3 linked regions of the Macaca mulatta genome follow. The protein of the gene in region 2 interacts with the protein of the main gene of each other region in a pairwise test. Links are inferred from orthologs where the notes say so. Each region holds a gene or a part of one and is shown on either strand. Other genes may lie near its edges. The genes, in order: COPZ1, COPG1 and COPZ2.

Region 1 (4,296 bases), on a different chromosome or scaffold from region 2:
AGGTTACAGTGAGCCAAGATCACACCACTGCACTCCAGCCTGGGAGACAGAGAGAGACTCCATCTCAAAAAAAAAAAAAAAAAAAAAAAAGAAAGAAAAAGAAAAATTCCTGCATAAGTCTGGAATCTCTTCTTGGAGAGCTCCTAAGGACATAATTTTCAGAGATGAGGGAAAAAAATCCCTGAGGGATAATTAAGGCAATAGGTATCCCTGCCCTAAGAGGAGTCAGGGATCAGGAAACCAAGAGATAGGGGAAAGCCAAGCTTCATCAAAACCATTCCCTATTGTGAAATCCTTGCATTCAGTAAACTTCTCTTTTCTCATTTTGCAACGGCTCGTTTCTTTCCTTTTCTTTTTCTTTCTTTCTTTTTTTTTTTTTTTTTTTTTTTTGAGATGGAGTTTTGCTCTTGTTGCCCAGGCTGGAGTGCAATGACGTGATCTTGGCTCACCGCAACCTCGGCCTCCTGGGTTCAAGAGAGTTTCCTGGCTCAGCCTCCCGAGTAGCTGGGATTATAGGCATGCTCTACCATGCCCGGCTAATTTTGTATTTTTTTTTTTTTTTTAGTAGATACGGGGTTTCTCCATGTTGGTCAGGTTGGTCTCGAACTCCCGACCTCCGATGATTTGCTCACCTCGGCCTCCCAAAGTGCTGAGATTACAGGCTTGAGCCACCGCGCCCAGCCACAACGGCTTGTTTCTATTGGAAAACCCCAGACCTTACTCCCTATAACCCTCCCTTATTCTAATCCCTTTCCCCGTTTGTCCCCCCAACTCCATCTCCAAAGACGATTTCACGTTGAGCCAAAGTTAGCTTTTACAAACTCTGACTTCTCATGTTCCTCAGGCCCAGCAAAGCCTGGAACTCCACCTTAGGGAGATTGTTACTGCGACTATCATCTCCTGGCAGCCTTGGTTTATGTAGTTAACATGTTGGGCCTTTCTTGGCTCTACTCTATGGTTGTGCAGACTTTCTGTGAGGATGCTGAAGTGACCCGAGCGAGCCTGAGGGAAGGGCTAGCCACAGAGATCATGGACCTAGGGGGCGCTGAAAATAGGGATTATTAGGGCAGGATCCCTGTTAGGAAGCGCCAGCGTTAAAGGCTAAGGAGACACAGCGCCCCCTAAAGAGGGTGCGGTTTAAAATCGCTAAATCAGGCCGACAATATCACGTGTCCCCGGCCCTACCAATTGAAAATTAACAATCGCTTCCTCCGTTCCCCATGGAAACAACCCCGCCCCACCGACCCTCCCGCCCTAATAAGTCGTGAGGTTTTGGCGTTTTATTGAGTATTCAAACTGACAATCAAACACCTGTGCCTTCTGGTTGGATACTCTGCTTCCGGTAAGCAAGTTAGTACAATAATTGGTCAACAGAGCAAGTCTTACCCAATGATCCTTATCCTAGGCAGGGCCTAATGGGGACGTATGGCCAATCAGCGGTGGCGTTACTTTTGCGGCTCCACGTCGGCACCAGCTGCGGGGCAAGATGGAAGCGCTGATTTTGGTAGGAGCTGGAGGGGCAGCAGAGATGCTGTGCTGTCCACAGGGGCCGGGAGTCAGGGTGCAGCCCGAGTGGGAGACGGGGAAGGAGAGTTCCGGGTAATTCTTGGGGACTGACGGTTCTGCCGACCCTTGGAATAAGTGTGTGGCCTAGTGTAGGAGCTAAAGCCTTGGTTTAGAGTAGGAAGCCCTGCCGGGGAGAGGGCATAGAGTCGGTGGAAAGTTAAAGGTAGCACATGGACTCCTTAGGATACACAGACCTGTAAGCGTACTGGATTAGGACTCTTCAGGTTTCCCCTTATTTTTAGCATTGTGGATGATATCCTGATTTTAATTTACCCAAACCACCAAACTAGCCCCATATTGTGAGAAAGGAATACAGATGTTTTGTCGTTACAGGCTCCTCCTGATGGTTTCCCAAGTTTGACTCTCCATTGCTGATTCCCTGCCACATTCTTTCAGGAAACTGTTTTCTCTTGGGTTTCCTATTAATCCCTATTAAATAGGTTTGTCATGATAAAGAATCAGTGTTTCATCAAAGTTCTGGGATACCTGATAAAGTTAGCATGGATTGTGGAATATTTTTTCCAGACTCCTTATTCTGTTCTCCTTTTCTCTACCCATTGGACCTTAGGAATTCTTTTTTTTTTTTTTTTTTTTTTTTTGAGACCGAGCCTTGCTCTGTCGCCTACGCTGGAGTGCACACGTGGCACGATCTTGGCTCACTGCAGTCTCCGCCTCCCGGGTTCAAGCTATTCTCCTGCCTCAGTCTCTTGAATAGTTGGGACTATAGGCGCGTGCCACCATGCCCGGCTAATTTTTTTTTGTATTTTTAGTAGAGACGTGGTTTTACCATGTTGGCCAGGCTGGTTTCGAACTCCTGACCTCAAGTGATCCGCCGGCCTCGGCCTTCCAAAGTGCTGGGATTACAGGCGTGAGCCATCGCGCCTGGCCAGGAATTATTTTATTTTATTTATTTATTTATTTATTTATTTATTTATGAGACGGAGCCTCGCTCTGTCGCCTAGCCTGGAGTGCAGTGGCGCGATCTCGGCTCATTGCAATCGCCGCCTCCCTGGTTCACGCCATTCTCCTGCCTCAGCTTCCCAAGTAGCTGGGACTACAGGCGCCTGCCACCATGCCTGGCTAATTTTTTGTATTTTTCTTTTTTTTTTTTTTTTTGAGACGGAGTCTTGCTCTGTCGCCCAGGCTGGAGCGCAGTGGCCAGATCTCAGCTCACTGCAAGCTCCGCCTCCCGGGTTTACGCCATTCTCCTGCCTCAGCCTCCCGAGTAGCTGGGACTACAGGCTCCCACCACCTCGCCCGGCTAGTTTTTTGTATTTTTTTTTAGTAGAGATGGGGTTTCACCGTGTTAGCCAGGATGGTCTCGATCTCTTGACCCCGTGATCCGCCCGTCTCGGCCTCCCAAAGTGCTGGGATTACAGGCTTGAGCCACCGCGCCCGGCCAATTTTTTGTATTTTTTAGTAGAGATGGGATTTCACCGTGTTAGCCAGGATGGGATTTCACCGTGTTAGCCAGGATGGTCTCGATCTCCTGACCTCATAATCTGCCTGCCTTGGCCTCCCAAAGTGCTGGGATTACAGGCGTGAGCCACCGCGCCTGGCCAGGGATTCTCATTGTATGATCTAGGATGCTAATTTCTCCCTTTCTGGTTACATGAGAATTGTGGTCGCTACAAGGAGTGTATTAGCCCTCTTGTCCATATGATGCTTTATGCTTGTTCTAACAAATAAAATACCTGTTACCCCTTATTTAGAACTGAACCAGATAATTTCTCTCAAAAGTGCCCTATTTTGCGATTTGGAGGGGTGTGTGTGTGTGTATGTGTGTGTGTGTGTAGGTAGGTAGGTAGGTAGTTAATGTAGGAATTTAACTCCCAGCCTCCTTCGTTAATTGGCTTGAACTCCAGGCCTCTTTCCAAAGAAGCTTGTCTTTTATTTTCCTTTAGATCTCCTATGCATACATATTCAGATCCTCGTCAGATAAAAGAATAACAGTTTTTAATTCCTCTCTTTCAGCATGTTAAAGACAGATAATTCCGACCATCCTGGCTAACACGGTGAAACCCCGTCTCTACTAAAAAATACAAAACACTAGCCGGGCGAGGTGGCGGGCGCCTGTGGTCCCAGCTACTCCGGAAGCTGAGGCAGGAGAATGGCGTAAACGCGGGAGGCGGAGCTTGCAGTGAGCTGAGATCCGGCCACTGCACTCCAGCCTGGGCGACAGAGCCAGACTCAGTCTCAAAAAAAAAAAAAAAAAAAAAAAGACAGATAATTCCTTATGTCAGTTGGTCAAATATAGGTAAAAAGCTTAAAATCTGAGTAGTTTTAAATATTTTCTGTACCAGGCAGTTAACAAATATTCTTTTTTTTTTTTTTGAGATAGAGTCTGGCTGTGTTACTCAGGCTGGAGTGCAGTGGTACTATCTTGGCTCACTGCAACCTCCGTCTCCCAGAATCAAGCAATTCTCGTGCTTCAGCCTCCCGAGTAGCTGGAATTACAGGCACGTGCCACCATGCCCAGCTAATTTTTGTATTTTCAGTAGAGACGGTTTCACCATGTTTGCCAGGCTGGTCTGGTCTTGAACTCCTGACCTCAAGTGATCTGCTGCCTTGGCCTCCCAAAGTGCTGGGATTACAGGTGTGAGCCACTGCACCTGCCCAGTTAGCAAGTATTTTTTTTTTTGTTTTTGTTTTGGAGACAGAGTCTCACTGTGTCATCCAGCCTGGAGTACAGTGCTGTGATCTCAGCTCACTGCAACCTCTGCCTCCCGG
Region 2 (3,567 bases):
GACAAATGGCCAATAAAGAGATATTTCAGAATGAGAGCGTTGCAGAAAACCCAACTTAGAATGGTCTGTGTCTGGTTAAGACCTATGCCTACACCCTATGGCCAGGTTCAAGCACTGGATTTAAGCACAGGCCCATGGGACCCCACCCTGGCTGGTCCTGGCATTCCTTGCAGACTAAAGGGAATAACCCAAGTGAATGAGGCATCTGGTAGATGTGTGCACATGGTGTCCACCTATAATGGCTACAGCTACCACTCTTGCACCTATTCTATGGCAGGATTCCTCGCACTATGACCATGGATCACCTGTATCAGAATTACTAGGGGTTGGCGGTAGAGCTTGCTAAAAACTCAGATTCCATCCCAAATCTACTACATCAGAATCTCTGGTTTCAGGATCAAGGAATTTGCATTTCTAATATGTTTCCTCAGATTATTCCAATATATACTGATATTTGAAGACCACTGCTCTAAGATTCTCAACTTGTCTTCCCAATTAATTGAACTCCATTAGAACAGGAATTGTGCTTTGAGGCCAGGGATCTGATATTTTTCCCTGTACTTAGAAGGTACTCAATTCACGTTTCAGACATAGAGAAAGGTGGGCCTTATTGTTATTATTTTGCTTTTTTCCTCCACAAAAAGTCGGCCTATGCGACTGCTTCAGCCCTCTGCAGCCTGAAGACTGAATCTAATGAACGCGCAGGCAATAAAAATCCCAGAACAATCTAGGCTAGATATTAGGAGCAACTTTTGGGCCACCATGACCATCAACCACCAAAGTGCTTTTCTATTGCTATTTATTTTCTTGGGAGTCAGAGTTTTGGCCTGATACTTACTACCTGGGGGATTCTGTTGATAGGGTTTCAGACTCTTCTTCAATAAAACTGATACAATTATCTTGATCACAGTGTTGTTGTAAAGACAAATGAGGCAATAAATATCAAGATCTAGGAAAGTTCTTGGCACTGAGCCAGTTTGATCTGGATCTTAATTCCAGCCGCTCCTACCACTTTCTCTCTCTGAACTTTCAATTCCTCAGATATTGAAGGAAACTAACAACCACCATCTGAGGGTCAAATGTGATACTAGGTCTAAAGCATCTCAAGGGCCCAGCACTCAGGAGAGACCAATAAATGACAGTTCTTACTCTTGATCCCCCTGAGGAAACTGAGCCCAGGTCCCAAGCACCCCCCAACCACTGTGACTCACCCTGGAAGATCTCCTGCCTGGTAGCTGCCACTTTCTCAGGCTGTTTGACTGCTGTGATGGGGGTGCTTTCTGCAGGAGCAAATTATACACATGATGACCAACGGCTGCAGTCATGGGGCAGTGTGGTGGTGACCCCAGCGCTGTTACTCAGGGATTATGAATACTAACCCTCCTGAGAGTGGAAAGCACAGGACATGTGAGAGAGCACACATCTGTGTGTATGTGTGTCTCTATTTTTGGGATCCAGAGGCGGAAAGGATCATTTCCTCCTCCCAGCATAACTCCCACCCGTCCCAGTTAGGTTTAGTGGCTTTGCAGCCAATGCAGACCCTCTGACAGAGGCCTGGCCTTGATGGCCTCTGGGAGGAGTATAGGTGTTACCTGTTCTCTGCTCTGCCATGGGCGCTGTGGCCAGGGGTACAGACTTGAGGTCAAAAGGTTTTTCTGATGGTTCTAGAGTGTACTGCTGCAGAGCCCTCTCCAGACCAGGGATGGACACAGTCAGACCTAGAGGCGAAGAGAGGTCACCATGTCTGGCAGACAGAGCAAAATGCGCACCAGGGACCACCATGGAGGCCCTGGGTCCCGAAGTTACAAGTCCTAAGTGGTACGACCCTGAGAAAATCACTTTATTCTCTAAGCCTCTTCATTCTCAGATACATCCTCCCTTACAGGGTAGGTGTGAGGAATAAACATACATACGAAGTGACTTGTAAAGGGTAAAGTACTGTAAAAATAAAGTTTTTATTAATGATGAGAGTTTGAATTCACTGGACAATTTCCACCCACACTGGTGTGACCTGAATGACCCAGGACCTCCTGAGGTCACCGTGATGCCATGTGGTTACCAGGCAAGTCCAGCCACGAGCATCTTGCCTCGGATTTCCCCTGCCCAGGGAGTGATGAGAAGAACCACAGCTCCAGTAAGGTGCTGAGTCCAAGGTAGCTAGGGAATGACTCACCATTTAGGATATAGCCTGCATTGAGGGCCTTCTGCTTCTGCTCCAGGACATTTAAGTAGAAGGTGGCTCGGTCCCTTACTTCATTGTCATCATCCATCACACACCTGCAGCCGGGACACAAGGTGGTCCTGACTGGGGCCCAGCAGGGATGGCAGGAGGGATCCTGCAGGGCTTCATTAGAGGCAAGTCCATAGGGATAACAAGTAGACTAGTGGTGGCCCCAGGCTGAGGGTGGAGGGAGTGAGGAGAGGCCACATTCATGAACATTGAGTTCCTTTTTGGGATGATGAAATGTTTTAAACCCAGGTTGTGGTGATGGCTCCATAACTCTGTGAATATGCTAAAACCCACCAAACTACACATCTTAAATGGGTAAATTGTATGGTATGTGAATTATATCTCAATAGATTTTTTTTTTTTTTGAGATGGAGTCTCGCTCTGTCACCCAGGCTGGAGTGCAGTGGTGCGATCTCGGCTCACTGCGAGCTCCGTCTCCCGGGTTCACACCATTCTCCTGCCTCAGCCTCCCAAGTACCTGGGACTACAGGCGCTCGCCACCACGCCCGGCTAATTTTTTGTATTTTTAGTAGAGACGGGATTTCACCATGTTAGCCAGGATGGTCTCAATCTGACCTCGTGATCCACCTGCCTCGGCCTCCCGAAGTGCTGGGATTACTGAGCTACTGCACCCAGCCTCAATAGAGCTATTTTTTTTAAGTGGGCAAAATAATTTAAGTTACCAATTGTCACATCTTGTTGGTGCGATTTGTACAGCATTGTTTTTCATGCTTTTCTATGCTTTCTCTTTTTTTTCTACAATCAGTAGCTGTAACTTTTCTCTCCCTTCTCAGTTAAAAAAAATAAAGACAAAGGAAAGCTGCTTGAGTCTAAGGGAATATTGTTCCCATGAGGGCCCCTGGGCCTAGACTCACCTCTTCAGCAACACCAAGATACTGGGTAACATCTCTTCATTCTGGGCTCCAAACTTGGCCAGAGCACTCACAGCACCTGTGTTTAGGAAGCGAATGTGATTTACCCAATGCACCCTGACAACTCACTGGGTACTTCCAGCACTCAGAATGGGTCTTCAGGCAGAAGAGCCCCAGAGGCAAGAAGTCTCAAGCCAGAAGGCCCAAAGTCACTATCAACACAGTGAGTGGCTTTGGGTGGATCTTGGCGCCACGCCAGTCCTCAACTTCCTTATCTATTTAATGGAAAAGGGAGCCAGATGGGATCAGTAGCTCCCATTCTAAGGTTCCAGGAGCTATTTTCAAATTAACCATGATGAGGTCACAGAAGCTGGCTATAATGTAAAGCTCCTCACCTTCCATATCCAAATGGCGTCAATTTGCAGTTAAGGCTCAGAATAATATAAATGAGAAAGGGAAAAATTA
Region 3 (4,085 bases), on a different chromosome or scaffold from region 2:
CTCAAGAAAACAAAACAAACAAACAAACAAACAAAACAAAAAAAGAAGTCAGGTAACTTCCCCAACATCTCACAGTTGTGAGGCCAAAGCTGGGTTTGAGCAGTAAGGACGGTCTGACTGCAGACAGGGTTATAGTGAAGATTAAATATCTAAGAAACAATCCCTCGCACATATCCCATAACTAAATTAATGTTTTTTTGTTTGGGAATGGTGAGCCTCTTTCTCTTACTCAGTTTCTTAATCTGTAGGGAGCAAGAGGCTTTGGCCTTGCTGATCCACCTCTGACCATCTGCTGGGGCAAGGTGTGGTCAGCTCAGTTTTCAATTTTCTGGATGTGGATTTTGCCACTTAGTACTCAATCTGCAGGCAGATTAGCCAGCTCCCTACTGGCCGCTGCTTATCTGAATGTCATAAAAACAGAAAAGTTTCAGCTCCAAACAAACAAACAAACAAACAAACAAACAAACAGAAAATCTATTTTTTGAGATGGGGTCTCACTCTATAACCCAGATTGGAGGGCAGTAGCTCGATCATGGCTCACTGCAGCCTCAACCTCCCAGGCTCAGGCGATCTTCCCACTTTAGCCTCCCCGAGCGCTGGGACTACAGGCGCACACCACCACACCCAGCTAATTTTCATACTTTTTTTTGTAGAGATGGGGTTTGCCATGTTGCCCAGGCTGGTCTGGCACTCCTGGGCTCAAGCGGTCCACCCGTCTCAGCCTCCCAAAGTGCTGGGATTACAGGCATCAGCCACTGCGCCTGGCCTTATAATGCATTTCTTTTCTTTTTCTTTTTGAGACAGAGTTTCTCTCTTGTTGCCCAGGCTGGAGTGCAATGGCGCGATCTTGGCTCACTGCAACCTTTGCCTCCCAGGTTCAAGCAATTCTCCTGCCTCAGCCTCTTGAGTAGCTGTAACTACAGGCGCCCACCACCATGCCCAGCTAATTTTTTGTATATTTAGTAGAGACAGGGTTTCACCATATTGGCCAGGCTGGTTTTGAACTCCTGACCTCGAGTGATCTGCCCACCTCGGCCTCCCAAAGTGTTGGGATTACAGGTGTGAGCCATTGCGCCCGGCCTTATAATGCATTTCATAGCTAATGCAGATGCTGTAGTTCCACTACAATTAATTGTGTTGACAGCAGAAATTTATTTTTGGATTATTTTAGGCCGTGTTTGCTAGGATAGATAACAGATAATTGAATGGGGGTACAGTGAAAACCACCTTGAGCTTAATGTAAAAAAACCTGAGTTTGCCTGTGAAACCTGTGAAATGGGAGAAGTGAAAAAATTAAATAAGTAAATAAATAAAATATGAGTTTGGATCTGTTAGGATATTAATACTTGTGACCTCAGGCAATTCACTTAGCTTCTCTACACCTCATTTTCTTCATCTATGAAATTAAAGAGTTGTATTACACAGTCTCTAAAATCCCATCTGGTTCTAAATCCTTAGACTCCTTAGGCTAAATCCTTAGTGTTTACCAAGCTGTAGAACAAAAGTGGAGGTTTTGAGGAGGTTTAGAGACAAACCCCAAAGAACAAAAGAGCTTGTGTAGGGGTTTGGGGACTAAGACTCCTGGGTCCCAGGCTCAACACTCCACTGATCCATTAGGCAGAAACTTCCCATGCCCAGGTCCAGCTGGCCAGTACCGATGATGAGGAAACACTTCAGGGAACATGAGTAGAAACAGGGGAGACCCCTCACTTCAGGGAGCAGCACCTTGACAAGGCAGGAGGATGAGAAGGACTTCTGGAGGGGTCTAAGCTGAGCTGCCCTGAGTCACAGAGACCACAGTGGAGTTTCTCCTGAGACAGGAGTGTCAGCTGGATGGGAACTGTGTCCCTCACAGGTGGGGTCAGAGGTTACCTTGGCCAGCAGCCGGCGCCCGTCATTATCTAGGATGAAAACAGCCTTGATGGTGTAGAGGGAAGGTTCCTGCAACTGACACCGGGGAGGAGAGTTCTGTTTGGCCCCTGGCTCAAGGTGGACACCCTGTCTCTATGGGATCTGCTGGCCCTAGGATACACCCTCAGGCTCCAGCAACCCCAGCCCTCAAGGTCCACAGCTGGTTCTGCCCAACCCTGTGCCACATGGGCCAACCCAGGTGCCCACTCCACTCCCAGGCAGATGTTCCACTGCAGGCCCCGAGTGGGCGCTGTGCCCGTTGGGTGCAGAAGGTCCTTCCGGGCCCAAGTTCTGTCATGCACTGACTGCTCCAGAGCCCGAGTCGGAGTGTATCACAGAACCTGGGCCGGGGGGGACAGCGGGCCGAGCCTCCTCCTTCCAGCTGATCCCTGGCCGGGCTGGACCTGCGCTCTCAGCGCGCCCCCAGGCCCTGGCCCTGGCCCGGGTGGACTCCAGCAGCATGCCCATCACCCACCGGTGATGGGAGGCGAGTCTGGGACGGACAGGCCACTCCTTACCCTCCCCGCGGAATCGCAACTCACCCGCCACCCCCCGCTCCAAACGGACCCAGAACTTCAGCCCCGCGCCGACGGACTCAGGACAGGCCTCCTCGCCGGTTGGCGCCGGGACGAACTTTTCCTCCCGGGTCCTGGGGCCGGTCAGGGGTGACACAAAGTTCCCAGCCGCTGGGCGCGCGAGTTCTGAGTTGGCTGCTCCCCTCAATCCTGCACCGTCCCGGCCCAGCTCCCGCCGCCCGGGACCCCCGCTCCCGCCCGCTCCGTACCCGCAGCCCCGAGGGCTCCCCGGCTCGAGCAGGCGGCGCCGGGCCCCCGGCCTGGGCCGCCGCGGCCCCCTCCCCCGGGTGTGGACGTGGCCAGGCCTCGGGCCGCTGCATTCCGCTCGCCGCCTCGCACTGACAGCGCCGCCCGCCTCCTGCCCGCCGCCGCCGCCCCGCCTCCGCGCCCGCCCCGTGGCCCCCTCTCGCGCGTGGCCTTCCTTTCCTCGGGGCCCCGTTCTCTTGCTCGTTCTCCCCGCTCTCCCCTCCCGCCCTCACCCCAGCTCTTCTTCCCCCACCTCTCCTTTCCCTCTCTCCTTGGCTCCTTCCCGAGTCCCTTACAGCCCCGAACTCTGCATCTTCAGGGTGCCCCAAGACCAGCCCTCGTCCTGCTTTCTGCCTGCTCTCCGGCCTGTGGCTTTGGTGTGCACCGGTGTCTGTAGGCTGTCCTGGGGCCAGCAGCAAACACAAGCAAAGCCCACTTTTTTCTGTTGACCTCTGGTAGGTACCATGGGGACAAATATGTCAGATCACCCTTTAGATCTCCGGGACAGGGTCTATAAGCAAGAGCACATGAGGACAGTTCTGGGGACACTCCTCTGTGAAGAGGCTTTCCCATTCCTCTCTCACTACTTGCAGAAGGGAACCATGGCCGCGGAGACACCTCCCCAGGCTCTCCTAAGACACAGATATGGCACCATCAAAAGCAAGACAGACGCCCAGCAGCACAAATGCTCCACCAATGACATTGGGCTTTGCAGCATGTTTTGGTTTCTTTGGTCTAAGTGTACCAAAGACAAGCTCTCATTTCAGGATATGCTGGCAAGTGGAAAATTCACACCCCAGTGATATGTATGTTAGTGGTACGTATGCATTTACTGGTAAAAACACTGTGCATGTATTTTACATTTGACACCTTCACATACGTTATCTAATATAGCCCACACCTGTGAGGTAGGCATAATGGACCCTCATTTTAAGGAAAGAGAGACTCAGAGGTTGTGTCACCTTTTCAAGACCATACAGCTAGTTGACTGGGAATAGAACCCAGATTTTTGACTCAAAATTTCTTCCCTATTCTTCTCTTCAAGCCCTCTTATGTTGTGGACCACAGTCACTTACCCTAGATGGTTACAGAATGGGGTTTTCCTCACTGAATGCATCAAGCCTTCTTATCTTCAAGCCTCTGCTGAAATATCATTACCAAAAGGTCCTCCTGACAGCCACCATATCTGACTTGATCGGTCTCTCCTGTCACATTCTCTATCTCAGTTCCTATTTCTTCCTTTCATTGCACTTTTCTCAATCTCTAAACATTATTTTTACTAATTTTGCTTGTTTGAGACATGGTCTCACTCTGTTGCCCAGGCTGGAGTGCAGTGGCTCGATCTCGGCTCAC

What was found.
Region 1: the proteins of COPG1 (region 2) and COPZ1 interact in a two-hybrid assay, tested with the Homo sapiens proteins (2 studies listed by BioGRID). The link is inferred for Macaca mulatta from reciprocal best matches to the Homo sapiens genes COPG1 and COPZ1.
Region 3: the proteins of COPG1 (region 2) and COPZ2 interact in a two-hybrid assay, tested with the Homo sapiens proteins (2 studies listed by BioGRID). The link is inferred for Macaca mulatta from reciprocal best matches to the Homo sapiens genes COPG1 and COPZ2.

Annotation. Positions count from the first base shown.
Region 1 is NC_133416.1:61,518,022-61,522,317, forward strand, and holds the start of COPZ1 (coatomer subunit zeta-1), read left to right. Parts: upstream 1-1,462; 5' UTR 1,463-1,486; coding exon 1,487-1,504; intron 1,505-4,296. UniProt on the Homo sapiens protein: The coatomer is a cytosolic protein complex that binds to dilysine motifs and reversibly associates with Golgi non-clathrin-coated vesicles, which further mediate biosynthetic protein transport from the ER, via the Golgi up to the trans Golgi network.
Region 2 is NC_133407.1:154,688,332-154,691,898, forward strand, and holds part of COPG1 (coatomer subunit gamma-1), read right to left. Parts: intron 3,182-3,567; coding exon 3,106-3,181; intron 2,278-3,105; coding exon 2,128-2,277; intron 1,790-2,127; coding exon 1,593-1,789; intron 1,281-1,592; coding exon 1,212-1,280; coding exon of another isoform or gene 1,150-1,211; intron 1-1,149. UniProt on the Homo sapiens protein: The coatomer is a cytosolic protein complex that binds to dilysine motifs and reversibly associates with Golgi non-clathrin-coated vesicles, which further mediate biosynthetic protein transport from the ER, via the Golgi up to the trans Golgi network.
Region 3 is NC_133421.1:61,984,668-61,988,752, reverse strand, and holds the start of COPZ2 (coatomer subunit zeta-2), read right to left. Parts: upstream 2,824-4,085; 5' UTR 2,807-2,823; coding exon 2,696-2,806; intron 2,270-2,695; exon of another isoform or gene 2,183-2,269; intron 1,948-2,182; coding exon 1,873-1,947; intron 1-1,872. UniProt on the Homo sapiens protein: The coatomer is a cytosolic protein complex that binds to dilysine motifs and reversibly associates with Golgi non-clathrin-coated vesicles, which further mediate biosynthetic protein transport from the ER, via the Golgi up to the trans Golgi network.